4 linked regions of the Arabidopsis thaliana genome follow. The protein of the gene in region 2 interacts with the protein of the main gene of each other region in a pairwise test. Each region holds a gene or a part of one and is shown on either strand. Other genes may lie near its edges. The genes, in order: PHL1, RGS1, SELT and AT5G47530.

The links.
Region 1: the proteins of RGS1 (region 2) and PHL1 interact in a two-hybrid assay, tested with the Arabidopsis thaliana proteins (one large-scale study listed by BioGRID).
Region 3: the proteins of RGS1 (region 2) and SELT interact in a two-hybrid assay, tested with the Arabidopsis thaliana proteins (one large-scale study listed by BioGRID).
Region 4: the proteins of RGS1 (region 2) and AT5G47530 interact in a two-hybrid assay, tested with the Arabidopsis thaliana proteins (one large-scale study listed by BioGRID).

What each region holds. Positions count from the first base shown.
Region 1 is NC_003076.8:11,019,539-11,027,696, forward strand, and holds PHL1 (Homeodomain-like superfamily protein), read right to left. Parts: upstream 5,328-8,158; 5' UTR 4,692-5,327; coding exon 4,122-4,691; intron 4,036-4,121; coding exon 3,840-4,035; intron 3,751-3,839; coding exon 3,674-3,750; intron 3,568-3,673; coding exon 3,522-3,567; coding exon of another isoform or gene 3,475-3,521; exon of another isoform or gene 3,387-3,474; coding exon 3,326-3,386; exon of another isoform or gene 3,249-3,325; intron 3,212-3,248; coding exon 3,142-3,211; intron 3,020-3,141; coding exon 2,798-3,019; 3' UTR 2,442-2,797; downstream 1-2,441. UniProt on the Arabidopsis thaliana protein: Transcription factor acting as central integrator of phosphate starvation responses. Regulates FER1 expression upon phosphate starvation, linking iron and phosphate homeostasis.
Region 2 is NC_003074.8:9,529,743-9,538,139, reverse strand, and holds RGS1 (REGULATOR OF G-PROTEIN SIGNALING 1), read right to left. Parts: upstream 5,528-8,397; 5' UTR 5,258-5,527; coding exon 5,178-5,257; intron 4,742-5,177; coding exon 4,621-4,741; intron 4,526-4,620; coding exon 4,462-4,525; intron 4,381-4,461; coding exon 4,296-4,380; intron 4,192-4,295; coding exon 4,118-4,191; intron 4,024-4,117; coding exon 3,743-4,023; intron 3,658-3,742; coding exon 3,419-3,657; intron 3,342-3,418; coding exon 3,217-3,341; intron 3,128-3,216; coding exon 3,006-3,127; coding exon of another isoform or gene 2,997-3,005; exon of another isoform or gene 2,981-2,996; intron 2,919-2,980; coding exon 2,730-2,918; 3' UTR 2,511-2,729; downstream 1-2,510. Other genes in the region: AT3G26100 (Regulator of chromosome condensation (RCC1) family protein), read right to left, coding at 1-77; AT3G26085 (CAAX amino terminal protease family protein), read right to left, coding at 5,743-5,884, 6,046-6,170, 6,255-6,317, 6,399-6,523, 6,619-6,679, 6,756-7,138, 7,229-7,298; AT3G26080 (plastid-lipid associated protein PAP / fibrillin family protein), read right to left, coding at 7,736-7,966, 8,072-8,146.
Region 3 is NC_003074.8:17,426,080-17,432,188, forward strand, and holds SELT (SELT-like protein precursor), read right to left. Parts: upstream 3,545-6,109; 5' UTR 3,477-3,544; coding exon 3,333-3,476; intron 3,262-3,332; coding exon 3,197-3,261; intron 3,115-3,196; coding exon 2,796-3,114; intron 2,708-2,795; coding exon 2,606-2,707; 3' UTR 2,364-2,605; downstream 1-2,363. Other genes in the region: AT3G47295 (uncharacterized protein), read left to right, coding at 1,975-2,062, 2,165-2,292.
Region 4 is NC_003076.8:19,277,914-19,284,970, reverse strand, and holds AT5G47530 (Auxin-responsive family protein), read right to left. Parts: upstream 3,598-7,057; 5' UTR 3,501-3,597; coding exon 2,874-3,500; intron 2,745-2,873; coding exon 2,490-2,744; intron 2,407-2,489; coding exon 2,101-2,406; 3' UTR 1,910-2,100; downstream 1-1,909. Other genes in the region: AT5G47540 (Mo25 family protein), read left to right, coding at 1-105, 194-312, 418-492, 597-690, 789-848, 966-1,034, 1,124-1,222, 1,300-1,344 and 2 more; RABA5a (RAB GTPase homolog A5A), read left to right, coding at 6,605-6,944, 7,050-7,057. UniProt on the Arabidopsis thaliana protein: May act as a catecholamine-responsive trans-membrane electron transporter.

The sequences.
Region 1 (8,158 bases), on a different chromosome or scaffold from region 2:
TTATTATACGCATCATTATATAGGGTGTGTATTTTTTTGGTGTGTTATTACGTGTTTGTTATATAGTATTTTTTTTTGTTAAAAATAAAAGTATTTCGCTTAAAATAGTTTTCTTAACTAATATATAAGTGTTTATTTTTATGGTGTGTTATTACGTGTTTTTAAAATATTAATAACATATGGCTATGATCCATTGTGTACTGCGGGTTACTTTTTTGTAACTATAATTTTTAAAATTTTAAGTTGTATTTTTTGTTACTATTTTTTTTTAGTGTTTAAAATTGTATAATCGGATTTTGATTGTATATTTTAGGACTTTATATGTGGTATGCCGCCTCATATTTAGGCTAACTCAAACCCATCCCACCATATAACCTCGTCCCTTGAAATTTAACATAATTTTGTTATTTTTATTTTTAGTAGTACTTTTATTTTACATGTAATTTGAGTCAATATAAAATTTTGCTTTCAAATGGTTTTTATCGTATAAAAATTTATTTTTTCTAGAGTTCAAATATTATTAATATTACAAACTTTTTATAGAATCTAAATATTATGGATATCAACATATTAAGTGGTACTCTGCGGGTTGATTCTTTTCCTTTTATTTTATAATTTATAAATTTTTGATTTTGTAAACTATAAAATATATGATATTTAATAAGATGTAGCTCTTATAGTTATATTATAGTATTATTCGGCATTTACTATATAGCTAAATATTTATATGAATAAGATTAATGTTATTAAGTTACCATCATAAAGTTCAAAATTAAGTAAGTTTAACTAAATTGTAAAATAACTTAAAGTGCATGCAAACAAAAAATGTGGTATAGGATTTAACCCGTGGTGTAAAATAAAATAAAATTTGAAAACTAAATGAAATGATAAAATAATTTTTTTTACCAAAGTTATTTGGGAGAATCTAGAAAGAAGAAAGTTATTTGGGAAATTTGGATATAGAGGACTTTTGTTTTTCAATTTCCCTTAATCATAAACTAAAATAAAATGAAATTACAAACTTTAGTTTTTAAGGATTAAGAATACTCACTTTCCCCACCAAAGCTCATCCTCAGTAGTTGCATCTTTAATAATACGCTTATCTCTCGATCAGTCTTAGCACCAGAAAGCGTCGCCAAAGCTCCATTAGAAATGATAAACGAACCTTTCTCATACTTAATAGCTTGCTCATAAAGCTTAACAAACAACAAAATCACAAACTCAATCTATTAAATTTGTCTCACAAGCATTGATAAATATTCTGTATAGCAAAACATATCTAGAGCTATGAATAAGAAATACCTTGCTATATGAGAATTATGAGGGATAATTTAGACTGAGGCAAATTGGTTGTGGTAATTGTTTGATATGAGATGGTTATTTATAGACGATAATCTTAAGGTTTTGGTTGCATCTGTTTGACGGTTTGAGAATATTTTGGAGAGCAAGTAGAAAAATCATAGATACAAATCAAAAATTAGAATGATACTCACATGTTTAAGGGAAGATTGCGAATCATTATATAACAATAAAAATATTTTTGTTAACACATTTACGTTAGAATGTTCTAGATATTTTAGTTTAGGTAATATTCTGATATTCGAATATCTTGAGAATATATGCTTGTTGTTAGATTACAAATCTAAACAAAAACAATACGCAAGTGTTAATGTGGTTTCCTTTTTTGTAGAGAAATCTTGTCAAAAAATATATTAACAACGATTGATGAAAATTAAGGAAAATTTGAACTCAAAATTTGAAAAAATATAAATTAGCTATGGAAGATGTTAAAGATTACCATTTTTGTAGGAAAGAACTCGATCACATTTATGTTTATTGTTAGCATTCGAATTATTTCATTTTTGGCAATAAATCTTTAATGTCATAACTAAAAACCATTAGAATAAATTATTTTTTATTAGCATTAAATTAAAACGTGAATAAAATTAATTTATTCTTATTAAATATTGATTTGTTAGAACAATATATCAATTTATAGAGTTTTTTAGATATGGCATTAAAATATTATTACGGTTTATTCTAGAATTCTATTTGATTTGAAAATAGTTTTTTGTTATAACTACATATACGATTTATATATTTTCAAATCAAAAACAAAATTTTGTATAAATATTTTTAGGAATAAAGCCAATTAAGAACAAAAATACAGATTTCTCTAGTATATTGTATGTTTATTTGAGGTAACAAAAATTAATGCATAGTTACTTACCGGATTTTGTGTTGCAATTGATAAAAGAAGAATAAATTTTGGTAAGATATCATTAGCATTTAAAACTAAAATTATTTTCGAATCAAGTAATTGTAAATATGGTTAGTTATGATTGATTTCCGGATTTTGTTAATTAGGATTTTAGCATTAATGAATTCGGTATAGTTTTAGGGATTGATTTGTGCAATTTATTAGGGTAGTAATTAACAATATCTATGTTTAGGTAAGTAGTTAGTGCAATATCTTAATTGTTAATCAAAAATTTGGTCATTGTCCTAAAGAAAATATCTTGTCTGATTGATTTTGTAGGGACTAAACATACAATATCAAAAATTGAAAAAGGATTTTTCGACACAAATCGTCCCCAAAAATGTATATGTAGATATACACAATTAGTCTTTACTCTTTAGTTAGTGTTGCAGCCATGCAAGGCCAAATCAACTGCTTCTAAACTAGAACAATACAGAGCTAAGAAAGAAACAGATTCTTTTAACAAAACTGGAGTTGGTTTCCACAATTAATTCCCAATAAACATGTTTCGTCAAACGAGATCAAATTAAACATGCTTTAATCTTCTCTGACACGTTTCCTTGATGCTGAAGCAGATTCATTTTGGTCCCCTGTTAGTGTCTCAAGACCAACTTCAACTTCTGCAAATGAACCATTGCATTGCTTTGGTGATGCTTCTGAAGAAGAGCTCTTGTTGTCTTGTATCTTTTGTTGTTTCTCGAACATCATCTGTAGGTACCGGCCCTGTTTTTCAATCTGTAACTGCAGTGACCGTTGGATCTGGCATATGGTTTAGACAAAATCAGATAATACTCATGATATTCACAACTACTACTCTATCTAAGTTCGAAATCAGGTAAAGAAGGATAGTTTTTTAGCAGTTAGGCATGTAAAATCATTACCTCGAGCTGCTCGTGGAGACGTTTCTGCACTTCCATTTGTAACCGTAGAGCTTGTGTGATCTCAACGCTCCTGGAAAAGAAATAGTAACATAATCATCTAGCAAAATATACATACAAGAATATCTGAAGAATACGAAGAAAGATTACTGGTTTGTTATGCAGTCAGAAGACTGAAGATTCTTACGTTTTCATGTCAAGAGATTTGATATCTTCAATAGATGTCATCTTCTTCTCTTGAGGTTCTCCTGTGCAAGAAATAAATAAAGTTCATACATTCGTAAGCTGTTTGTCGAGAGTTTAGGTTCTTCTAGAGAGTGACCAATACTTTAAAGCTTAGAAAAAGTGCAGTAGTATTATGTTAAAGTATTTTAACTCCTTACCTGTAACTTCCGAAGTCTCCGGTTTATACCTTGCCGTTCTATATTTCTGTAGAAAAGAAGTTCAACAGAAAGACGGTGAGAAATGAGAAATTAGCTTAGCAGAGAAGCAGTATGAGATACAATAACAAAATAGTATATGGATAAGAACAAACCTGCAAATGGCTTTTTACATGATAAATGGTCAAGCCAGGGTTATTCAAGAGCTTCAAAACAGCCTTAGGGGTGGCTCCTATGATGGAAATTATAGAAGAATCAGTGTACGGTTAACATCCTTGAGCAATTATTTTCAGGAACAATAGAAGGAGAAAGCTTACGCACGTTCACTACCACCAAGCTGATTAACAGCTTCAACGAATGCCTCGTGAAGTTCTGGTGTCCAACGCATACGTTGTTTAGATGTTGCTACACTAGATGATGAGTTTCTGCCGCTGAGCTGGTCCTCTGATGAAACCATCTGTTGCTGCTGGTTAGCTGTTATATCTAGCCTTGGTACATCCAAAAATGGTGTAGGTATCTGATACCAATTATGCAAAACACTGATTAAATAACATAAGGACAACCAACAAACATAGAGACCATATATGGCTAGAGAAACTGAACCTCTGAATTTGGATTGTGGGAACTTGAATCTCCAAGAAGTTCAGACCAATTTGGCTCAGAACCATCGTCAACAGAAATCAGCTGATCTGCCCAATCTTGCCATTCACTTTTCTTATGAAGTTCCACGGATGAGTCCACCCTTACTCCACTACTCTCTGCTTGTAGATTCTGAACAGGAACATGATCAGAGAAATCAAAGAACTCATGAAGTGGATCTATGAACTCTTGAGGGTGATGATTAATCAACGAGGATTGAGCTATCAAAGGACAATCCTGCATAGCCAATCTGTCTCTAGGCACGGTGGAAACAGGTGGCTGGTTTTGCAAATTCCTTCCATGAGGCAAGACAGCTGAAACATTGCAGTATCCAGAGGAAGAAGGAAACAAATAACCACCAGAATTGCCACCAGAGACCGACTGACACGGTACAGGGTTATTCATCAGTTCCTGACCTGATGAAACCCAAAAAGAGTTAGGCAACTTGTGGTATCTGTCTTCTACACTAGTATGAAGAGCTGAATAAGATGAAGACATAGCGGTCGAATATCCGAAATCATTAGCCAGAGTCATAGCACAAGAGCAGTTTTGCAAAACACCACACAGTATCCTAATTCAGAGTGTTGAATGGCAACGAGAAATGAGACACTAATACACAGAATATAACTTTATGCAAAGGAGATGAACCATTGAATCAATTCCCTTACTATCTAGTCAAAAGAAACAATCTCTCAAGAATATTTCTAACGTTTTTGTTTTGCTCTAGATCACAAACTCTACATGGAGAAGCATCTACATGTGGATAGTGAAAGGACATTACATAAAGGATATGGAATCAGTACTCAGAGAATGAAATTTATGTCCACTTAGGCAAAGTTAAATATGGCTTTTGATGAAACCAAAGAGACGTGTTAAAGAAGAAGCTACCATGAACAGAATCAAATTCAATAAAAACTAAAACTTTACAATCCTAAAGACAATTCTAGGATCCAAAGCTAAATGGGGTTTAACATCATCACAAAGTCAACATAAAAATCAAACCTTTTGATAGAAACTTCAAATCATAAATTAGGATCAGAGAAACTAAAAGCTGTGAACTTTGAAATCAAATCACACAAAATCAGCTAATCCAGTGCTTAATTCGATGTTTAAACTAAAACCCTGATTGAGAATGATAAAACCCTAATCAAAGAGTAAATGGAATCGTCGAAAAGAATCTTACTTGACTCAGAGAACACAGGGCCCTGATGAATGATTATTGATTGATCAAAGAACACTTTTTTGTTTTGTTTTCCTAAACTATCGTTTTTACGTCTCTGTTGTTTCCAGCTTTTGTTTTTTCCTTTAATTTATCAAGACCGTTAGATTTTAACACGTGTATTTTATCAACGACTGAGATTTTTGTTGAGTACGAAAGTTGTATTATCTCTGTCGTAGAAGATCTCTGCCTCACTGGTGGCTGTGCAAAGTGCAAAATTAAGGAATTAAGGGACCTACATTTTTATTGTTGTTTTGTTTGAAGAGTATCTTATTAAAATAGGCACAAATTGGTAAAGATCTTCGGATTTAGGCATATTAGATACGGAAATTTGAGTGTATAACCAAAAAAAAACTTTAATTAAGTAACTAGTTATTCTAACCATATCATTACAATAGAATACAATTTATAATAATGTCATATCCTACTATATTATTTGGGAAGTACATTTTAAATGTAACCTTAATTTTTGTAAGTAATTACATAGGTATGCTATTAGAAATAAAAATTTAAAGAATAAATTAATTTATCTCTTTAAAGATTAGAAAGTCAAATACTAATTTAATTAAAGAACGAAATACATTATTAATTTCCAAAAATAATAACCAATCAAAATCAACATATAAGATTTGATATATAAATTTTAATTAATTTAATTTAATTAGAAAAACGAAATACATTATTAATTTTTAAAAAAATAACCAATTAAAATCAACAAATTAGATTTGATATCTAAATTATCATATTAATTTTTTATTAATTATTATAGTTCACTTCTCATCTTTATATGATTCTATTTTTGCGAAAAAATAATATCATCATTATAAAAAAAAAAGAATTAGAGTTTTTTTGCATATGCATAATTTGAATTTTTAAAAACGAATATAAACTGTTCAATACATGAATAAATATTATAACGGATGAAAAATAGATTTAAGAAAACTTTCTACTGAGTAACGGGTCATAATTTGAGATATTTATATTCAATTTCATACATATTATATTGAAAATTTATAATCTTATATACTACAATAATTAATAATATATTAGATTTTTTTATGTGTATGATGTGATTCAATTTTTAATACAAGCTGGAAAATCCTAGAATTGACGGTTTAGATCAATATTAATACAAGATGGTATACTACAGTTGGAACTCTTAAATTAACAATCAAACTACAAGTGTATAATCTTAAACATTAAACAATATAGATAATATCAACAAAACATATACAACTCACAGTTTACTATACATTTAAAATAAAATAAAATAATATTATATATTTTTAAATCATCTTTACAATAAAAAATTTTAGTTTAACTAAAATATAAACCTATCTGCGGTATACTGCAGGTTAATATCTAGATTATAGGGCTTATTGGATCTAAAGACGGATCATCAAAGATTTTCTAAACTGAAGCAAAATATATTGAATATTCGAATATCTATCTGTTACCAAATTATAAACAAATAAGTTCGTAAAACAATTTAGTATTTTATATATGAAATCAAATAAATCTTAATCACATAAAAATTAGCACAAAAAAAAGAATTCAACAATTAAAAATTTATCAAATCTCTATGTGTTATAGATTCAATCTCCGATTCTCACAATGAACTCAGCTCAAGAACACGAACGAACAAGTAAAGAAGAACACAAGACTCAATTTGTTAACCCGGTTCAGCTAGATTGGTGTGATCTAACCTACGTCCGGAGCCGAATCAATCCGGCAAATTCACTAGATCAAAGGAAGAGTTATGCTCAAACTTGAGCTTACAACAATGGCGGATTCTCTCTCTGTTACTCTCTCTCTCTAAGAACAAGAATTACAAAGGAAGAAGAAAGTGATGATGACTTTATAACAAACTCGGGTTGGTTAAAACCTTATCCCGTGAGAACCGAAGACCCTCCACTGCAGTTAGAGACTCCTCTTTACTTCATCATCTTTCGGTTTACTCAGCCATCCCAAAACCGGAGATAACCGCCTGGTCCAATGTCCTTAGTCTGATTAAACCAATCAAACCAATGAAATTGAATCAGAACTATAAACAACAACACTATGTTATATAAGTTTTGATACTATATTCGAATAAAGTATAATATACCTTTTCAATTTGTATTCTTTAACTAATTTAAGCTAACTAATATATTTGCTAATCTTATACCTATCAAAACAGACTATCGTTTCTTATCAGTATAGTATTTTTGCAAGACTTTTTTGGTGGATTTGGGTAAAAGTGCATTCGGGTCATATGGTACATTCCCCTATTAAATAAATATGGTGCACTCTTATGTTATTAGCTAAAATGTTTAGATTATAACTCAGAGTCATATCATTAATAAACTTAATATTAATAAAATAAATGGCTTTTTTGCAAGACGGATTTGGAGGGACGGGTTATTGAATCAACATTAATAAAAAAGTAAAATATAATTAATCCACCGTTTCAATACGGGTTAAAACTTTAATTTATTATTTTTTAAGACCACTAATATTAAGCATATAAAATCATCCTAATTTAGAAAAGATTATATAAAACCAAAAATGTTATGTGGTATGTATAATGTTACTATATATAAAATTAAACTATAAAATATAAATTTATTAGAGAATGATACAATTTACAAAACTTTTATATATAAAAAATAATTCTTAAATTTTAAAAATTACTACTTTAAAAAAAAATCACGGGACGGGTAAAGAAATGACAGAACGGGTTTTATTTTGGAATTGGGTTGTATGGTGGATGTATTTGAATCAATATTAGAAAATTTTAAAA
Region 2 (8,397 bases):
GGAGGAGAAGTAGTCGAAACAGATTGTTCCGGCAAGTTAATATACTGTAAACTCGGAGTTCCACTCGTAGCATCCATTTTTGAAACAGATTATCTACAAAACCACAAATTAAGACAAGAAAGTCACACTCTGATTAGCCTGAAATATGAGAAAACAAACAGAACAAGATCCCCAAAAACTTACCTGCAAATTCTCTAGTCTCTAGTATTGTTCAACAAGTTCTAAGCTTTTTGATCTACATAAGAAACAGAAACTAAGTAAGGTTCCAAATCATAATCAATTGTTATAAACAGAAACTAGAAAAGGTGAAACCTTTTGACTAATGAAGAACAGAGAAAGAATCTGTGAATCAATCAAATCAAATCAACCAAGAATGAAAGAAGAAAACTTGGAAGAGAAGTGTAGGAATCAACAATGAATTATTCTATAAAGATGAAAAAGGAATCTTAAAGAAAGATTGGATCTGATACGGAAGATAATAAGAAAACAGTTTGTCACACGCAAAGGACTACTCCTTCTCCTCTGCACACGGAAACTCAAAACTTTTGACCTTACCATGATCACAACAGAAAACCCAGAAATCAATTTTGATTGACCAAACAAACACATCAGAGAGATCAATCCATTTGGGGAAATGTTAGTAACTAATACTACAGTTTGATCATTACCCAGATTCACAATCAGAGACAAAATCATAGAAAATTCAACAGAGACTTGAGATGGATAAAAATGATTACTTGTTAAGAAAAAAGATGAGATTTTTGAAAACCCATCTGCATCAAACCATCATCATCATCAATTCAATCATCATCAACAACAAGAATTCGAACATCAGAATCTACAGACAAGCTATAGTGAGTTTCTTTGGTTGTGTTCTTGTGTCTGATCAGAGAAGCATAGAAGATGAAAACGAACGATCGAAGAATGTTTTGTTAGAGAATTAATTGACTGTGAAGAAAGCAAGCAAGCGAATTTCACAATTTGATCAGAAAAAAGGAACTTTTTTTTAATATAATTTTGGTCCTGGGAAAGTCTGCAAATTTGGCGTTGATAGAAGTGAATGAAGAAGAAAGAAAGTTGTGGTGTCTCTTTATGCGGACTTATAAAGCGATCAGATCTCTTTCTCAGTAAATAACATAACAAATTATAAGAAAATTTGTGATTATATGTCACATATATGTTTGATTGTAATGGAATATAACATCATGATGATCAATACATGTATGCATGTGTTATGTGTGTATATAGACGTGTGCATCCAAAACTTGGTTTGAGTGGTAGAACAAGTTATCTATCTATCTATCCAACGGATCTTTATAGTAGTTTATTAATATCTGCTAATAATTTGATTATATTACTCATGAGTCCTTACATAGTTATCCACTATGATGACATCCTCATTCTTTTTCATGTTTATAAGGAGTATTATTTTCACCGAAAATAGAAGTAAATTTTGTTAAATTCATTTTAGTGAGAGTTTTCATGTCTAGATGTTATAGAGTTTTCATTTTAGTTTGAGTTTTAAACAAAGATAGAATGAAGATATTAAGATTGAGATATAAGAATGAAAAGGAAATAACATTATCACAACTAATTTGTAGCATTTTCGAAAATTTATTCATAATAGTCTTGGAACAGAAAATAGATGTAATTACTATTTAGAGAATTCCCCATAAGCTAAACAATTTAACCAAAAAAATATATTGAAATTAACTAATTTGGTGAAAGATAAACTGATAAAGATTCCTTTTAGTTTTATAAACTATCTTGGAGAGAACATCGACAACACCCAATAATTGCTACCCATATATATACCAAAACCATATGGTAGACAGCCAAAAATAAAATAAAAAAAACTTCTTTGGGAAATAATATTTATTTATGGTGAGATGAGAACCACTAATATTTGGGAAAGATTCACCATAATAATGAAACATTAATTTAAACTTTTTTTTCATTCGCTGACAAGACTTCTTACCTACACATATAAGTTTTATTTTTTGAACATTTAATTTTTATATGTTAACAGCAGAATAAATCTGGCTAAGTTACTGAATTTAGGGTTTAATTGACATTTCTTGCAGAATTTTACTGAATAATTTAGAGCTTAAATGGTAACAGATGATTTTTTTTTTTAAAAACTTACCTAAAGACATTTTATTGCTGCTCAACAATATTTAATTTTATATTTTATAGATATTTAAAACTTTTAATATCATTTAATCATATGATAAACCTAAAAAATTCTTCAACTTTCTCTTTTCAGTAACAAATTATATTCTAAAATTGAAATATTTGATGACCATCCCACCTTCTCGTTATAGATGTTGTACACGTCAAAATATAGTGGTGGAAAAAAACATTATGTCAAAATGTTGATGAAAAGCCTTAGCGAGGCCAATGGATATGTCATCACATCATGAAACATGTGATGCAACATCATCACTCTGCAAGGACATGAAGATCAATCTGCAGGTGCTTTTTTATTCTTGGTGAAACAGATGGCATATACGTATAAATTCTTCGAGATATTAATTAGTATGGTTCCATAGTTTTTGTCCGGTATACACATTTAAAACTAAACCAAAATCCGAACCGGACATTTTCTCTTACAGTTAGGTATAACAAGAGAGAAAATGACATGTACAAGAAATGTGAAGGAAGATTACATGGATTGGATTGCTATGAACATTGGTTTGGGTTCTGGTCTAGTACCAGTTTTAGACTCCTTAACCGGGACTACTGCATCTGGAACTCTTTGACATATGTTCTTGATAGAAAGGATCATCAGAGCCTTGAACTGAACTCAGTCTTGGAGATGAAAAACTGTATCCTTCCTTATGCATTGCCTCGTGGCAGCTTTCTTCTTCTTTGAACTTGATGAAGTAGATGGATGACCAGTAATCTCTTACCAAGTTCTTCAAATTCATGAGCACAAAAAAATGAGAATCAAGAGAATAGCTTGAAGGCGTGCGTAAGAGAGTGAAAGAGAGATGTTATTTTACCATCTTGATCAATTGCATGACTTCGTTTAATGCGTTCTTGAAGAGATCAGTGTGAGTTAGATCTTGAGTGGTTAAGATCTCTTGTCGGGTTTTATGAGATAAGTTCAATTCCATTTCCGCTCCTGTGTTTTAAGGAATTACTAGTTAGATTTATAGAGAGAACACACGAGACAGGTCTATAAAGAAGAGGGAAGATGGATATGTAATTAACCTGCGACGATGAACTTCTCCATGATATGTCGAGCCATGTAGATTCTTCTTATCGAATCATCTTCCGGGATTTTACCATGTTCATACACCTCTTCAAAAAAATGCAATGTTTCTCCAGCGTAGCAGCTACCAGCATATAACGAATTAGTTTAAATAAATGGTGAAACCGGGATATATATGAGGTCAGGTATTGAATGGAGTACCTATCAGCAAATTCCATAAACGAATGGCGAAATCTTTTATTGAGAAGAAGCTTATCGAGTGGCTCGTTTGGGTCAACAGGTCGAAACTCCTCCTTCCGAAATAATAATCCGCTATCGGGAATGCCTAGAGCTTGACCCATTCTTTGAAACTCAAAGTTTTGTCTTTTCTTCAAGCTGATTTGTGAAAGAAGAGGTTGGTTACTCGAGATGGAAAAGAAGACAACGACGAGAATCCCACCCTGAAAGAAGAATCAACTCAGAAGTCTGTTAAAAAGGTATTCCAACTGCAAATATAAAGAACAGTCCTGGTATTAGCTTTCATACCGTGACTAAAAGCACAAATCTTGAAGCAACCTGAAGCCAAGAGATTTCTTCATGAATCTCATTCAACACAAACGCTGTTACCCATATAACGATTGAAGTGGCTGAGACGAGAATTCCTTTCCAGAGATCTCTAAGCTCGTCAAAACGAAACTCTACATGTCGAACTGCTCTTGTGAATGCAATTAAAGCAAGGACATAGAGAGCATGAAGGCCTGCAACTGGGAAAGTCCATTGAAGACCCATGTGGCATTTATCGTTGAGAGGCTTTGTTGCGTGGATAACTAAATGCAAAATCAAAAGCTTTGAGTTATTATTATCCAAAACAAGAGAAACCAAGAACTGCTCAGTACATATAACGTTCAGAACAATTCTTACTTGCAGCTCCGAAGATCCATGGCAACAAAACAAGGGGGAGGAAAATGTATGATTTTACCGGAGGTAGACGTTTCCTACATTGCAAAGAATATGTAACAACCAAACAGCATTAAACTCAATTACACCAATAGAGATAGAATTGGAATCCAAAAACATTTTGATCAACATTGAACCTCACTTGACAAATATGAAGTATAGTTGAAATGCCTGAGTTATACGGCAGCTCATCAACAAACCAAACCCAAGTGGTCCTTCAATCCACACTGAAACCAAATTATACAAGACTTATTGATATAACTGTCAATTTGTTTACGAAGATGAGGAATCATGGTTTCCAAACAAACCTGCCCAAAGATAGCAATATCGCCACCAATGTTTCGTCCTGAATCGAAGCAAATTAACTGACATCTGAAAATTAAATATAAAACAGTCTATTAGTGTAGAAACTCAACAAATGAAGTGATTCTTAAGAGCAACGGAATCATCAAGTCAAGTAGTCTAACCATAATTGAGAAGAGAAGGTTGAAGCTGGAGATAACTTGAATAACAGGGATCCAGAAACTGCTACTGTTAGTACGAGGAGCCTTATGAATCAAACACGGTAACACTGAGCGCGATAACAGCCTAAATAAACAAAGTGAAATCCATCAGATAGAATCAACTTAATAGAGAAATTGAACTACTTGGAAGTTAACTCATGATACAAATCCACTCAATTAGTCCATTAAATCAAGCTTTTGAACTTCAAATCTAAGTTCAATAATCGATTCCGACATAATATATGAATCTTGCTATCAAGATACTGAAACCATCTAATTCCCAGCTAAAAGAAACTGAAACGAAACAAAAGACAGATCTTTTGATACATAACATCAAACACTTACAATACAAAGAGTTAAAATAGCAAAGAGAGACATCGTATGAAAATTTTAAACGATTAAAGACACAAAATTCGAGATTTTGACTCAAGTCAAGAGTCAACAAGCAAACCCAGTAAATGAAAAATCTAGATCTTCAAAACTAAAACCCAAAAATGGGATTTTTAAGCTCGAACACATACACGAAGAAGCAGATGACTGAAATTGCGACGGCGACGTAATCGCTGGGACAACCACCATGTAGAGCACATCCACTCGCCATTTCTATTGTAGCATATCAGCTCTCTCTTCTCCACTCGCTTTCTGGGTTTTTGAGATTTTATTTGGTTTCAAAGCTTGTTGCTTTAATGTCAAGGTAAAGTGTGCAAATTTCTATAAATTCAATAAAAGAAACTTCATTTATCGATGTTGAAACAAAAAGCTTTAAAAGATTCACACTTTCGCATAAGAGAAGAGACGTCTCTGTCTCTTCATTGTTCACGTTTCTCTCTTCTTCTCTGACTTTTTTGACCAGAAGACACTTCCTTTTTCCGGTAACAATTCTGATTGGTTTTTCACTTTTCACTTCTATAATTATAGATTTTTCATACTTGTCCTTTGTGACAAGTTGGTACATTAAAATTACAATAACCACCCTCTATTATAGATTTTTGACATAACCACCCTATACTATTGAGAGATTTCACAAACCCACCCATTAAAATTGTATACTTTTTTAATTCAACCCTGTTGTAAATTTTGTTTATTTCACTCCAATGACTTGATCTTGGAACTATATCGCCACAACAGACCTCCCACCAAATTGTTGAGTGCGTGCGAGGCCATTGGAACGATAAGACTCGACGACAAAACAGCTGCATAACCGTAGACTATACCGACAATCGAAGCCCTGAAAATTTCAAGAAACCGCAAAGAATTCAATAGGAAAACCTCGGAAATGTGATAGAGAGATGCAAGAACATGTTAAAGGCAATCATCTAATATCAAGATTCGGTCTACGCAATTCTCATCAGCATTGAGGTACCAAAATGTTCAGTAAAAACGGCTTACCAAACTGCAAAAGAATACTTTCTTCCGCTCCCGAGATGAAGTAAACCGAAAATGAGGCCAACCGCTACAATACCATTCCAATTAGTTCCGAACAAAGGCATTAATGCACCTCTAAACAGCAGCTCCTGTGAATACACCAAATCAAACCAATGAACGACATTTTCTAAAGGAGAGCCTTTCTGTGTTTTATTGTGATTGTTTATTGTTACCTCACTTATTCCCGGTAACATTGCAACAACAAGGTAATCTAGAGGTTCGAGGGAAGTGAGAATCTGCAAGTAGTGAATACCAAAGGAGACAATAAGCGGAGTTTAAAGAATCGTATAAATGTATATAATGTGTAATGTTTTGACCTGTCGGTTTGCTGCTTCACTAGAATCAGCAAAATCTGGCCAAGATTTAAGTAGCAAGAACCTACTTGACGATATAAACACAACGATTCCAGCAATTAAACCGAGATGCCAAGTTTCAAACCCAACTGCAAGAAAGATCATGCAATACAAAACATGTTTTGGTTACTGAATCTCTCAAAGGATTCTTAGTACACAACATAATCGTTTTCCGAGATGTTACATGGTACATCTATAGAGCAGTCTGGAACCAGTAATCCTTCAGTCGAAGCAACATGAGACGCCTGCAAGCGGTAACCAAATCAGCAAGATACAAATGCTAGAATCACAAAATCATAAACTTTCAGATTTGGGATTCACCTTTCTGATGATCAGACCTAGTGCAGCCATCAAACCGGAAGTTACAGTGCAAGCCTGAAGCACTTTGTCTCGAGGAGCAGCAACAAAAACATCAATGGAGTCCTTTGAAGTTGAAGAATCAACTTGAGCTTCCTCAAATCTTGGAGAAGAAACTTCTTCATCTGTAACATTTCTTAAGCCTATGTCTTTACCTTGTTGTGACTCTCTTTTGAGTTTCTTAAGTGATTTACGACTTGAAGAGGCTCTTACATCAAACTTAAAACCCAAAAGACAAAATAAACAGACTATAGTATAAGAGATCATCTGTTCGGACCAAGAAGCGGCAACATTAAAGAATCTTACTTGTACTCTTCGAGCATCATATAGCTTAGGGTTCGAGCCAACTGATCATCAAGTAAGCAAATTTCAACCAAAAATCTTTGTCGAATTCTCATATATATGATCATATCAAGTTAGGAATCGCACTTACCTACCTGGACGAAAAAGGAGATGAAGAGAAGTTGAAGCTCCTCTGCTCCAAGATTGCAGAGCGATGGAACCCATCCGAGATTTTCGCCTGCCTTCTCAAAGTTTGTCGCTTTGATTCATAAGAGAGACTCTGTTTCCAATATAAAACAAATGAAGAGTTTCACGAAGAAGAAAGCGTCGAAATGAGAGGTCTGTGTCTCGCCAGCTTCATACGGCGTCGTTTATCAGAGAAAACGCACCAAGAAAGAAGAAGAAATGAAACCAAATTTTTATTGTAACATATTTCAAAAGAAGAGGACATGAGTCCTTTTCTGATTTTCTGTACCGAATTCAAAGTTTAGAGCTTTTTTAATCTAATGTGGTGCAATGTCGATCAAAACAAGTTGAATCATTGACAAAAGCTAGTCTCTTTTTATTCTCTCTTATTAGATTTTTACATACATGATGAATAGAGAGACAGAACAAGCGATTTTAAGTATGTATGATAGCTCGAAACTATTTTTTTCGATAGATCAGAGAGGGATTCGATAAGTGGGATCAAACATCTTCAATATAAACAACAAGTTGCCTTTGCCCCTTGATATCCTGTAAAAAATGAACATTGTTTCAAGATTCAAATGTTTTTGGTTGTCAGTTCCATAGAGAAATGAAAAACTATCATTCACTACTGACCGTAGTTCCTCGTCCACATAGGTAATCTCTAGTTCACCGCGTGCAGTACCATCAGGTGCTTTTACCGGAATCTGCACACAGCAAACACTAATGATCAGTAAAAGAAGCATATGGTGTATGTATGAGTCAGTACTACCAGTTTCCCTTATAACAGCAAGAGTTTTGGTAATACTTACAAAGCCGAGAATTTTAAACACTTGAAGTTTCACAGCAACCGTCTTCGAGTTGAGGGGTGTCAAGTCTCCAGTTACCTATGAAAACATTGTAGTTTGCTAAGTCTCATTTTACAAACTCTGCTGAAAGAATATTGATGATAAAAACTTTGGTATTAGTCCTCCTTTGTTCTTGCCTAGTGAGTCACAATGGAACATGATCATACATATATGTGACAAAGTCTCAAACTTTCGTACATTTTGAATATTATATAGCAATGGATCACATCAATAGGTTTCAACATCACAGAGAAAAGAGCTTTGTATATGGTCTAACACAACGCAAAATC
Region 3 (6,109 bases), 7.9 Mb from region 2:
GACAAAACTAGGTAAACCTATTTAAAAAAACACATGACAAAATTTATGTGAGTTAGACACGGATTGAATATTATAAAATATCAAAATATATGAATATGAATCCGAATATGTTGGATAAAAAAAAAGAAATTATATGTTCCGCCAGCGAATATATCAATTCAGATATATAAAAAGAGTTGAAAATAATAATATAAGAGTATGAAAAACTAAAAAAAAAAATTATTATTAATATATATATATATATATATATATCATAGAAAAGTTTTCAAAATGATTTTATAAACAAGTTAGAACATCTTATAAATAAAAGTAAGATTTCACACTATCCTTATTAATCCACTTGGCAATTTATTTACAAAAAAAATATTTTCAATTAAACCACAAATAAAACACATTTAATGAGAGTCAAATACAATTTAGCTGGGTTCAAAGAGAGTCAAATATGGTAGCTGATTCTTTAGCGAAGCAACCGATACAAGGAAATGTTTCATCTGTGTTTCATTTCTATGTTCCTTTTAATATTTCTGATGCATTTGCATCGTGACTATGTAGTATCATGTTCTTGATTAATAAAGCTGATGTTCAAAAAAAAAAAAACACATTTAATGATATATAATTAAGTCACACTATTTTTTGGTGCTTACATTTAACTCACACTTTAATATAAAACTAAAGTCATATAAATTATATATTTACTATATTTCTCTACAAAATTTTATTCACACACAATCAATTAGAATTTTCAACTCTCATATTTATTTTTAAATTGTAACTCTATCACTTCCCATCCTACAAATATTCATTCTCTCATTGACTCATCCTCTTCCACTATATCTCAAATCTATTTTTATTTTTTGTGGTTGTTGTTGTATGAGTTAAAAAAAATCAATTTAAATACCATTGTAAAAGCTTAATTTTTTCAAAAAAATTTCTAATGCCAATACGTTATACTTATCCCTTCTTTATTTTTATTTATTTTTTATTTATTTTGAATTAACATATGTAAAATAAAAGTTTTTTTTTAATTGACATATTTTTATTTCTGAATTGACATATATAAAATAAAAAATTGATGGCTATAACAAAACTTTCAGGTTTATTCTCAAACATTACCAATGTGTAATTGTAGGCTTGTAGCTATGTTCCTGGCTTTTAGCTTTTTGGTTCCAATATGTTTTGTTTTGTTTTTAACATTTGTGTATTTTTTGTTTTTTAATTTTTAATAAAATAGAAATAAAAGATTTATGAAAGACATATTCAAAAATATACCATACTTTTCTATGTACTCGATATTTATTTTAGTTGATGTTTTAGAATAAATTGTTTTTTTAATTTAGATGATATTTCAAATTTCAATGCAAAATTAATTAGATTTCATATTGATTTTGGCTATTTATATTTTGCATATTGTTTTATCATTTGTTAAATCATGTTTAGATAGACAATAAATATTATTTTCGTTTAGAACTAAACAAAAGTTAAATAAATTTTTTAATTGATGTGCAAAAACCTCCAACATCAACAAAAAAAAAAACACGGAGAGGGTAATAGACAAATGTGGATCCATATCGAAATCCGGAACAATAATCTGATAATCCCATGAACTTCAGGTATCGTATTTTTCATAGCATATCGTATAGATCTGGGATTGAGGGTAGAATTTCAGACATTGTGCACCCCTTGATGTGAACAAATGTGGGGACAATTCTAAGCCACATGTCACTATTTCCTTGGTTGTCTTCCGACCATTAATACCCCATCTCCCAAACTAACACTCTTCTTTAACACACACACACACACACACACAACAACAACAACAACAACAACAAAGAGGCTTTAATGTTTTAGTCTCTTGTTCACGTGAAAAAACAAACTGCAATTGGATAACCACAACCAGAATCGATTTTGAATCATCATTTCTATAAATATATACGACTCATACATACATATACATACCTCTTAAACAAAACTGAGATGAGTTTTGGAACTCGTCTTCTTTTGTTTCTCATACTAACACTTCCACTTGTAACATCTTCATCCCCAAACACTCTTCATGTTTCAGGTTTCATCTCTTATAATCGATGCTTCTTTCATTTATGCTTTGATTCATTGAACTATGATGTTCTGACTCTGTTTTCGGGTTTGAATTGGTTTTACTTGTTAGGAATTGTGAAGACAGGGACTACAAGTAGATTCTTGATGATGACCATCGAGGATTATGACGATCCATCTGCAAACACCAGACACGATCCCAGCGTTCCGACCAATGCAAAGGCTGACACAACACCTTAAAACTCTTCTGAGTTTACTTGTTTAGTCTATGTTGAATAAATAAATATATATATAATAATCTCTCTCTTTTGACTGAGCTGAATTCTCCATTTCCTATACTCTGTATATTATTCATCTGAGTATCAAAGCAAAACCTTAAGAAACAATGTGAGCTATGTATCAACCACACAACTTGAGTATATTAACACATGATGTTGGTGTTAAAGACAAAACATGAACGTTCTGGCACATTAGCTTTTAACATAAACACTATATTGTTGTCTATGATCGTAAGCCAGTAAGGATTTCAGAACCTTCTAGACTAGAGTCTACATCAATAGCTGCCTGTGACGAATGGTTTCGTCATAGTTCCACTGATGAGATCTCTCAACTCAATCTCCCCCGGAAATCTCCCTTCTTTCAATTTAGAAAACACCTGGCAACACAAAACATTGGATTTGATTAGCCAAAGCCGAGAGTGTGATATGATACTGCAACCATGCATAAGAGAAAAAAGAACTGACCAATTCTCCATTGCAGCTAACTTCAAAAGCACCAGAACTTTGCAAAAAAGACTGCAAGAAGTTACCAAGAAGCCAAGTGGAAGCCATGGACCCGAATCTATTCGCTCTCAAAGAGTGATACCAAGCAGGAGGCTGCGCAATTCCAATCATGGGAAATATCTGTTCACCTCCCATAATGAGACCAATAACACCCACCTGAGCAACTGGCACAACCTTAGCAAGAATACGTTTTGGTGCTGGTGCAGGGTAATTAGCAAGAACTACATCTAATCCAGGAAAAACACTCTCTAACATCTTCTTCATTGATACAGCAGTTCCCCTACAATACAAAGACTAATGAATCAAATCTAAATGATGATAAAGCTTAAAGCCATTGACTTAGAAAGAAATCGGAAAAGTACTTGTACGAGCAGGAGATGCAGAAGTTGATCTCTACGGTGTTTCCATATCCAACACCAGTTGACTTCTGCTAAAAAGACAAACGATTAGAACACAAGTGGTGTGCGAGATGTTATGTAGGAATGAATTCGACTTCACCTGTGCGGGGAAATCTAGGGTTTCTGAGATAGACGGTGGTGATTGGTGCTGAGATTTCGGCGGTGGAGGCGTGAAGAGATTGAAGAGATCGGAACAAAGCAGGAAAATCGGTAGTCCTAACAAGATCAATTGTGTTTTGTCCATGGCGGATTTTGAAATCTCAGAGAGGGAATTTGAAGTTGAAATTTTGAAGGAGATCGATCGGAGAAGAGAACTTTTATCACTTATGCCACTTTTTTTAAAAAACTGATCTGGACTGCCATCAGTGAATGTCACCGAAAATGTGATATACCAGTTGTACCCTTAATGAGTTGATTAAAAAAATAAAAAAGAAATTCAAAAGCTAAATAAAGAAAATCGAGATTCTCCGTTCTCTCTTCTTCGTCGTCGTGTTCTTCTTCTTGCGTCGACGTTCATCTTCTTCGTCGGCCACCATCGATTCCGGCCGCCGCCGACTTGAAATCCGTCGTAAAAGGCAACGAATTAGGTCAGTTTCTTCTCATATTTCCTTTGACATTGGTGCATTGTGATTTTAGATTAGGATTTTGAATTATATATAATTCCCAGATTCAATTTGATAGTTTGATGATTGGTTTGCAAAGTAAAGAGTAATCGATTAGAGGTTGCCGAAACGTTATTTGAGGTGATGAGCAAAGGAATGTAGGTTGAATGTGAGTTGAATTTGAATTCCGAGATTTCATATTAAAGATTTGGGGGGTTTCATGTTAGTTGACAAGATCATGAAGAAGGTTGCGATTGATGAAGCTTCTGTGAAGTTGAAACTGAGTTACAATCTGTCTAAAGTTAGGAGAGAGACATATATTGTAGATGATGAGGATGTCTTTATATTTTTAACAGAATCTGATGAAGAGAGTCGGATTCCTGTTTTGCATGTGGAGAAATTAAATGGTATAGGAGTTGAGAGGAGAGAGGAAATTTCTGTACCGGAGCGTCGAAGTTCAGTTGGTGTAAATGTAAGAAAAGATGATGTTTTAAATGAAGTATGTGAGATGGTGCATGATGGATATGATAATGATGTGAATGATTGTGAGAATGTAGTAGGTACGGAGATCGTGGCTGTCGAAAGGCCGATGGAAAGGCCGGTGAATTCTGTTGAGGAAGAAGATGAGGATGATAGGATTGATTATGATGATATTCACAATATTCCACGAAGTGTAGAAGTTACTCCGCAGGTTATAGAATGGGATGATGGTACGGGTATTGAAATTGGTCAAGAATTTTGTTCAAGGGAGGCTGTGTGGGAATTGGTTAACAGAGCTGCAAAGCAAGAAGTTTTTGGAGTCTATACTATTAAGTCAGACCCGTTGAGACTTATGCTACGATGCCGCCAAGCTTCTAAAGGGTGTACTTGGTATCTAAGAGTTGCGAGAACTAAGAAATCTCATTTTTGGAGTGTTAGAGTGCATAGAAAGATGCATACATGCTCTCGGAGTGTTGAGACTACAAGCAACAGTATACAGCGAGGCACACCAAGATTGATAGCATCGGTTTTGCATTGTGACTATCCCGGAAATTTAGAGACCCCAACTCCAAACAACATTATGTCGATTGTAAGAGGAAGACTTGGGGTGCATTGTTCATACTCCACTGCCTTAAGAGGCAAAATGCTACATGTTAGTGATGTGCGAGGGACTCCGGAAAGAAGCTACACGATGTTATTTTCTTATCTTTACATGTTAGAGAAGGTAAATCCAGGGACAGTAACTTATGTGGAGTTGGAAGGAGAGAAAAAGTTCAAGTACCTCTTCATTGCATTAGGCGCTTGCATTGAAGGTTTTAGGACAATGCGGAAAGTGATAGTTGTGGATGCAACTCATCTTAAAACTGTGTATGGTGGGATGTTGGTTATTGCAACAGCACAAGATCCTAATCATCATCATTATCCACTTGCGTTTGGAATCATTGATAGCGAGAATGATGTAAGTTGGATTTGGTTCTTAGAAAAGCTGAAAACTGTATATTCGGATGTTCCCGGATTGGTCTTTATTAGTGATAGGCATCAAAGCATAAAGAAGGTTGTCAAGACGGTGTACCCGAATGCGCTTCATGCAGCTTGTATATGGCATTTGTGTCAAAACATGAGAGATCGTGTGAAAATTGACAAGGATGGAGCTGCTGTCAAGTTCAGGGATTGTGCTCATGCATATACTGAGAGTGAGTTCGAGAAAGAGTTTGGTCATTTTACAAGTTTATGGCCTAAAGCTGCTGACTTTCTTGTGAAAGTAGGGTTTGAGAAATGGTCGAGGTGCCATTTTAAAGGAGACAAGTATAACATTGACACTAGTAATTCTGCGGAGTCCATTAATGGTGTGTTTAAAAAAGCGAGAAAATATCACTTGTTACCAATGATTGATGTGATGATTTCTAAGTTTTCTGAATGGTTCAACGAGCATAGGCAAGATTCAAGTTCTTGTCCAATCACAGCACAAGTTGTGCCTACTGTCGAGAACATATTGCACATTAGATGTCCAATTGCAGCCAAATTAACTGTGTTTGAGCTTAACAGTTACAACCAAGAATACAACGTGATTGATCTCAACTCGGTAAGTTTTCTGGTGGATTTGAAAATGAAAAGTTGTTCATGCAAATGTTTTGATATAGACAAGATCCCGTGTGTCCATGCTATGGCCGCAGCCAGGCACCTCGCCCGCAAGGAAGGGAGAAATGCGAATACAACCATCTACGGACTCTGCTCTGTGTATTACTTGATAGAGAGTTGGGCATTGGCCTATTACCGGACGTTGTATGTAGTCCCA
Region 4 (7,057 bases), on a different chromosome or scaffold from region 2:
GAAGCAGAGCCTGTGGCAGAAGCTTGTGCACAGTTGACTCAAGAATTCTTTAAAGAGGATACTCTACGTCTCTTGATTACTTGTCTCCCTAAACTTAACTTGGAGGTAACATTTCTCCGTATAGGAAAGACATCATTTTTGAGATACATTGGATGATTGAATTGCGAAAAATCTGTCCTTTTTTTTTAATTAGACGAGGAAAGATGCTACACAAGTTGTTGCAAATCTACAGAGGCAACAGGTTAATTCACGGTTGATTGCTTCTGATTATTTAGAAGCCAACATTGATCTCATGGATGTTTTGATTGAAGGGTGAGTCTTGTGTGTTACTATCATTGAAGTTATTAGTTGGTAGTTTTTCCAAATTAAGAGATACCACATTTTATCATTTTTATAGCTTTCCATGTTTTGTGTCAGCTTCGAGAACACAGACATGGCTTTACACTATGGTGCTATGTTTAGGGAGTGTATCCGTCATCAGATTGTGGCTAAGTGAGCCAATCGTTTCATTTTCTTCATTTTACGACCTATGGAGTAATTATGGATTCAGAGAATAACGGAAAATGTGTTTACTAACTTAATTTCTTTGGATTCAGATATGTTTTGGAGTCTGACCATGTGAAGAAATTCTTTGATTACATACAGCTTCCAAATTTCGACATTGCTGCCGATGCTGCTGCTACTTTTAAGGTTCCAAAACAAAACTCGCATTTTTAGCTTGGATCTTTCCCTGTCTGGGACTAGTAAACATGCAATCATAACTCCAAACCTGTCATTTATTTTCACAGGAACTGCTGACAAGGCATAAGTCTACTGTTGCCGAGTTTCTCACCAAGAATGAAGACTGGGTAAGTTATGTAGCAACAATGCACTATGATATATGCTTGAAGACAGAACATTGTAATTTATCCTCTGCAGGTCCTGCGTTCAAGTCGTATAATAATCTCAAACTTTTTGGTTTGCAGTTTTTCGCAGACTACAACTCAAAGCTTCTTGAATCAAGTAATTATATAACCAGACGGCAAGCTATTAAGGTAGGCTAACTTATACAAGAATCTAAAACATTGAAATGATGGTACTGGCTGATCAATCTTATGTACTGTATGGTGTAAATGTTAAACAGTTGTTGGGTGATATATTATTGGATCGATCAAATTCAGCTGTGATGACGAAATATGTGAGCTCGAGGGATAACTTGAGGATTCTCATGAATCTTCTAAGAGTACGATGCTTTACTCTCCGTTTTTTTGTTCTTGATTATAATAGTTTGGGAAATAAACTCAATCGCTTGAATTACAGGAGTCAAGCAAGAGTATCCAAATAGAAGCATTCCATGTCTTTAAGGTACCTACATTAACGAGATGTAACATAATGATGATTGTCACTTGTCAGTCCAACGTGATTGTACTGAGATTATCGTCACTGTTGTGCAGCTGTTTGCAGCGAACCAAAACAAGCCTGCGGATATAGTCAACATTCTGGTGGCCAACAGAAGCAAGCTTCTGAGATTGTTGGCTGATTTGAAACCAGACAAAGGTATGAAACTAATCTTGTTAAGTGAAACGCTTGTATCCGATCCTTCTGCTCCTTAACCTTATTAAAGCATTGTTTGGTTCATTTGGTTGACAGAGGATGAGAGGTTTGAAGCAGACAAAAGTCAGGTTTTGAGAGAAATCGCAGCCCTTGAACCTCGAGATCTTGCTTGAACCAACTAATGCAATTCATCCTTCCTTCCCTTTTAAAACACTCGAAAAGACATTTTTGAAGCATCTTGTTGTTTTTTTACATTAGGTAACCAATCTTCCTCTCACTTTCTCACCACACACACACACACACACACACACACACACACACATACACATACGAGATATCTATTCGATATATGTATTCATATGTACACTACTTCACTGTCGATGAAATAAAATGGTTTGTCAAAAGCTCACATCATGAATGTTGTAAAAGAGCACAAGAGTCTTTCAACTTCAACAACTATTAAACATCAAATGTATTAACTTAATCTCGAAAACAAACAAAAATTAACAACCACAAGCCCATAATGACCAAATAAACCAGAACATTTTACTCTAATCTTTACAGAGTCTACACGTATAGAGACCGACCATCGTTGCCTACTCGTTGACTTGTTTTCGCAGATGCCTCTGCTTTCCCTCTCTTTATGACTACATACCAAGTAAACCCTTCGAGCACAACCGCGACTATACCTAGTACTACGATTATGGCGGTGTAAGCGTTTCTCCACTGCTTCTCAGGGCTCAGGATGTCTAGTCCTTTAAAAACGTTTACCACCGCAAGAATGATCACTGAATAGCCTACAGTGTGGTGATAAATGTTCCAGTAGACTCTGTACTTGTGCTCTGGTTTGGGTCTCAAAAACATTGCAAACACCTAACGTGTGAAACAAGCAACTTAGTAATTGCAACATATTCATGACAAGTGTAATACTCTCTGTACTGTTAACTAAAACCTACCTGAATTGTTGCGAGGCAGAAGAGAGCGATCCCAACAGCACGGTGAAAGGTAAACTGAATCCCGGCTGATTCGTTGCCCAGTTTGAGACCGGTCGCCCAACCGGCAACACCAATGATGTAAGCAGAAGACTGGCAGAAAACATGAAGGTAGAACCAAGCAGGATCTGCTGATTTTGAGACTTTCAAGTAGCGAGCAATGATTGCTCCTATTGGCATCATTATACCCCAGCTCACACCGTTCAATATTCCATGTATCTGCAATAATGATTAGGAGTGATAAGTTTCATAAAACCAACTAACAATGATGGGATTGATAAATCTCATTTCATATGTGAGATTCCTAAAAAACATGAAATGAAGAAATTGATAAAACCATGGACTCACGTTGCGTTTGCGTAGCTTGGAAGCTCCTCCTGCTCCGGTAGAGGTGGATCCAGATGCACCAGAGACAAGGTTAAGAGTAGAAACAGAACGAACATTGTTGCCAGAAGTTGGATGAGGCAGAGGATTGTTCCCTGACAGTGACCCATCTTGCCACACAGTGTTAATGATTCCACCATTCGCAAGTGGAAGATTCAGAATTGCGTAGATGACCATCTCGTTGTTTTGGTAAGTGGCAGACAACTGAGAGACGTTGAAACTCAGCTCAGCTTCTAGGAGACTCGTTTGGTAGCTACTGATGGGTGACGTATAAGCCCTAACGGTGCCGTCTGATTGTGGATAAGCCACAATGGCTTGAGCTCCGACCATGCCAGTAGATGTGGGATTCACGGCCCATGCCACCCATTTCCCGGGGGTGAGCTTTGTGTGGCGATACGCGATTTGGAGATTGCCTGAAGAAGAATCGTAAGTGTAGTGGAGGAAGGAATCAAGAACAGGTAGGTCGTTGCAAGACTCAAAGAGACGGTTGGTGGAGAATTTGTAGTTGGAACATTTCTGAGCCAAGGCGGATTTGGTGATGATGAAAATGAAAAGAGAGAGACAAAGGAGAAGATTTGAGGATATGGCCATGGAAACAGAATCTCGAGTAATGATTAAAAGATGGATGAATGATAAGATTTAAGTATGAAGGGGAAGAGAGGAGAATGAGATTAAGTATGAATAGAAAGTGGAACAAGTAGGGTTTGGTTTGTTAGTTAATCTGTCTTAATACAGAATCTCTAATTCTCTTCACACGTGTCCTTTTTTCATAGTTTAATCTTTCTTTTAATCCTCTGCTTTTGTTCTTGTTCATCTATCAATTGCAATGTTTTACCTAAGAGTAAAAAATAGAAACATTATAAATGAAGCGTTCATTGTTTTCCCAAAAAGGTTTGACGTGTAATGTATTTCTTCCTTAAGAGTCTTTAACCCTCTCAAGCAAAAACCAAGAAATAAAAATATGAAGGGGTCATCTTCACGTTCAAAAACCAGTTCACACCAACTTTATTACGAGAACTCATTTCTCGTGTTTATTTTTTCTTTGTTTGTCATGAAAAATCTTTTTCATTGTATATAGGTTTTGTCATGACATTGCGCGTTAAGTTAGATTATAATCTTGGTACGCTTGGGAATTGGGATGATGATAAATTATTGAGCACACTAAAATATTAGGTTTCATTGGGTTTAGTGGTTCAATTGACGAAAGTAGACTAGCGAAGGGAGTAGTGGTTTTCGCGTAATAAAGGGCAAACACGTCTATGCCTGCAACTACTAACGTTGTGCATGTATGATGTACCCTAAGTAAACATCTACCACCTTATGAGTATGGACTGGAGCGGACCAGACCAACAAACTGTTTATGAGAGATTCCAATCCAAGGGAAGTGGTTGGGTTTAGCTATTTTTAGAGTTATGTTCTTCTATATATAGGCCGCGACCAACATTTCAACGGTTAAGACCATGTACATGAGTGATATTTTTAGAATATCATCAGTGTAAAAATTATTTTTTTATTAACCAAACAATTAGAATGAGTTTGATTAGTATCATTCCAGTGATTTTCTTGATATCAGTATCATCTACGTGACATCTCCTGATTGGTAGCATTTATTAAAAGTAAGAAAAAAAATATTTATCTATTAAACAAACATTATAAATAATACTAAAATTTTTTTAATGATACTTTGAGAATATCACCTATAAGCATGCTCTAACCAGGTGGATGTATAATAATGTCCTTTCTTGGTCAACGCTCAAATTACTACCTGCCACATGTCCCCCACTAGATTCTTTGGTGTAGCTGGGCTCAGTTTGAACTAGACTCTTTTATATGGGCTTAAGTGTTAATTATCAAAAAACAACCCAAAATGAGATATTTAGATATAATATGTTTTTGATGGAAAAAAAGGAAAGATATAATATGTTTTTTTGATGAATGAAAAGTATTACAATTATTCAAAAAATCACTAGTTTCCTGAAAAACAATACAAATTGCATAGTTTCAGAAGGATAATCTGATTTGGGTAGAGTTTGTTGATGTTAGAAATATAAATATTTTCTTTTATAAATAAAATAGGATGGAAAATCCATCATATTTGAAAGTTTTGTTGTGTCTAATAAATAACAGTAGAGTGTACATAATCGGTAACTTTTTTTTCCTTAACTAAAATTTTAAGTGAAACTAAAACAAAGGTGGTAAAAAAAAGTAGAGCCTATGGTAAAATAGGGTAAGAGGGTCCATAAGGGCCCAAGATGTTTTATTTTTGCTGAGCCCATTATTACCAATCCGAACCGAAATGGAAAAACTCCGGTCTCTTTCTTTCTCTCTCTCTCTGCCAGAGTTACTGCGTGTCTTTGATTTCCCAGAAGAAGGCGTTGAATCCTTTCGTTTTCCGATTCCATTTTTGGGATCTCTTGTTTCGTTTTCTTCTCTTTGGATCCATTCCATTCCCATGTTCCCCAATTTCTTTAATCGGTGTTGCTTCCACAAGGTAATTTTGTTTTCCTCTGCACTTCCCGAGAATAAAGAGAAGGTTTTTCTCAATTTTCCCCTTATGATTATCCCTGTAAATGCGAGTTTTTTGTCCTGTTTTGTCTAATGGGTCTTCATAATTCGTGATCATCAACGTTTTCTCTGTCTTGTGTGTGTATGTATGTGTGTGATCTTACATCTGACGGGAATGTAATGTGATGATCTCTCATGTAAAATTCTGTTTTTACTTGGTTTGATTGTTTCTATTACAATGCTCTGTTTTTGCTTTAAAGAGTTCTTACAATATCTCCTCCTTCTCTTTTGCGAAAATGGGTTCTTACTTGGGTTTAGTTTCTTAGGTGAAGTTTCGATTATTTTTTTGAATTGGTGTTTTATAAGTTTTGATGTCTCATCATCTTTTTCAGAAAGAAATGTGTGGCCTACTTTCATTTTCTAATGCCGTATATGAAGATTTTCATATTCAGGCAGATATTATAAACCTGCAGCAATCATTAACTCGATTCATCTTTAATGTGAGCCCTAAGGACAAGACTGAGAATTTTCTATCAGTGTTTAAGATTGCACTTTGTGTGATCAAGTGAATGAGTATTGTTGGTTGAATTGGGCCCGCGCTTGTCTTTTCTGTCTCAATTCTGTTTCTCCTTATGATAGAGAGAATATTTCTCTGCTTTCCTATTGGTGGCTTTCATGATTTGTGAATAGTCAGTATCTACCGACTTTAACTTAGATTCTTAGGGTGAGATTATAACTAAAGTTAGCTTTACTTGTTGTATATAGGCTTCATGAGCTTGTATAACAAGTTTCTCTAGGAGGTGTTAAAGAGCCAGATCAAGCTTTCAGAAGAGGTAACTTGTATTGCTGTCTTACTTTGGATCCAGAATGCGTTTATGTGCTGAATACTTTGCTTGTGATAGATTTTCTTAGGGTGGTTGAGAGCTGAAAGTTTTGATATTTAGTCAACTTTGTTCCACTGAACCTTCTAGGAAGCTACCTCAAGTAGACAGGTGATCTTAAAGATTCTCTTGTTTCTCTTAGATCTCAATCTTTACTGTTTCTCAAGTTTCCTATGCCAACTCTACTTATTCTTGTCTTCCCTCTTCCTCACTTTGGCTCTTTGTTTTGTCCTTAGCTTTGTTGACGGGCTTCAAGCCAGTGGTAAAGATATGCTTCTGTAGAAGGGTTAATCTTGAGCATTAAAGGACATGGCTTTCTACTCTGAAGACGACAAGAGCGAAGACTACCTCTTTAAGATTGTTCTAATCGGTGATTCTGCTGTCGGGAAATCAAATTTACTTGCCAGATTTGCGAGGGATGAGTTCTATCCCAATTCAAAGTCGACGATTGGAGTGGAGTTTCAGACACAGAAGATGGATATAAACGGGAAGGAGATCAAAGCACAGATATGGGACACAGCAGGTCAAGAACGTTTTAGAGCAGTCACTTCTGCATATTACCGAGGTGCAGTTGGAGCTCTTCTGGTTTACGATATCAGCAGACGGCAGACTTTTCACAGCATTGGTAGATGGCTCAACGAGCTACACAGTAAGAAACCTCTTATCTTTTCTTATCTGCTACTAAACAATCTCCCATTTGCTAATTGATTCAAGAATAATGAAAGTGAGGGGTGTCTTCATAAAACTGTTGCAGCACACTCT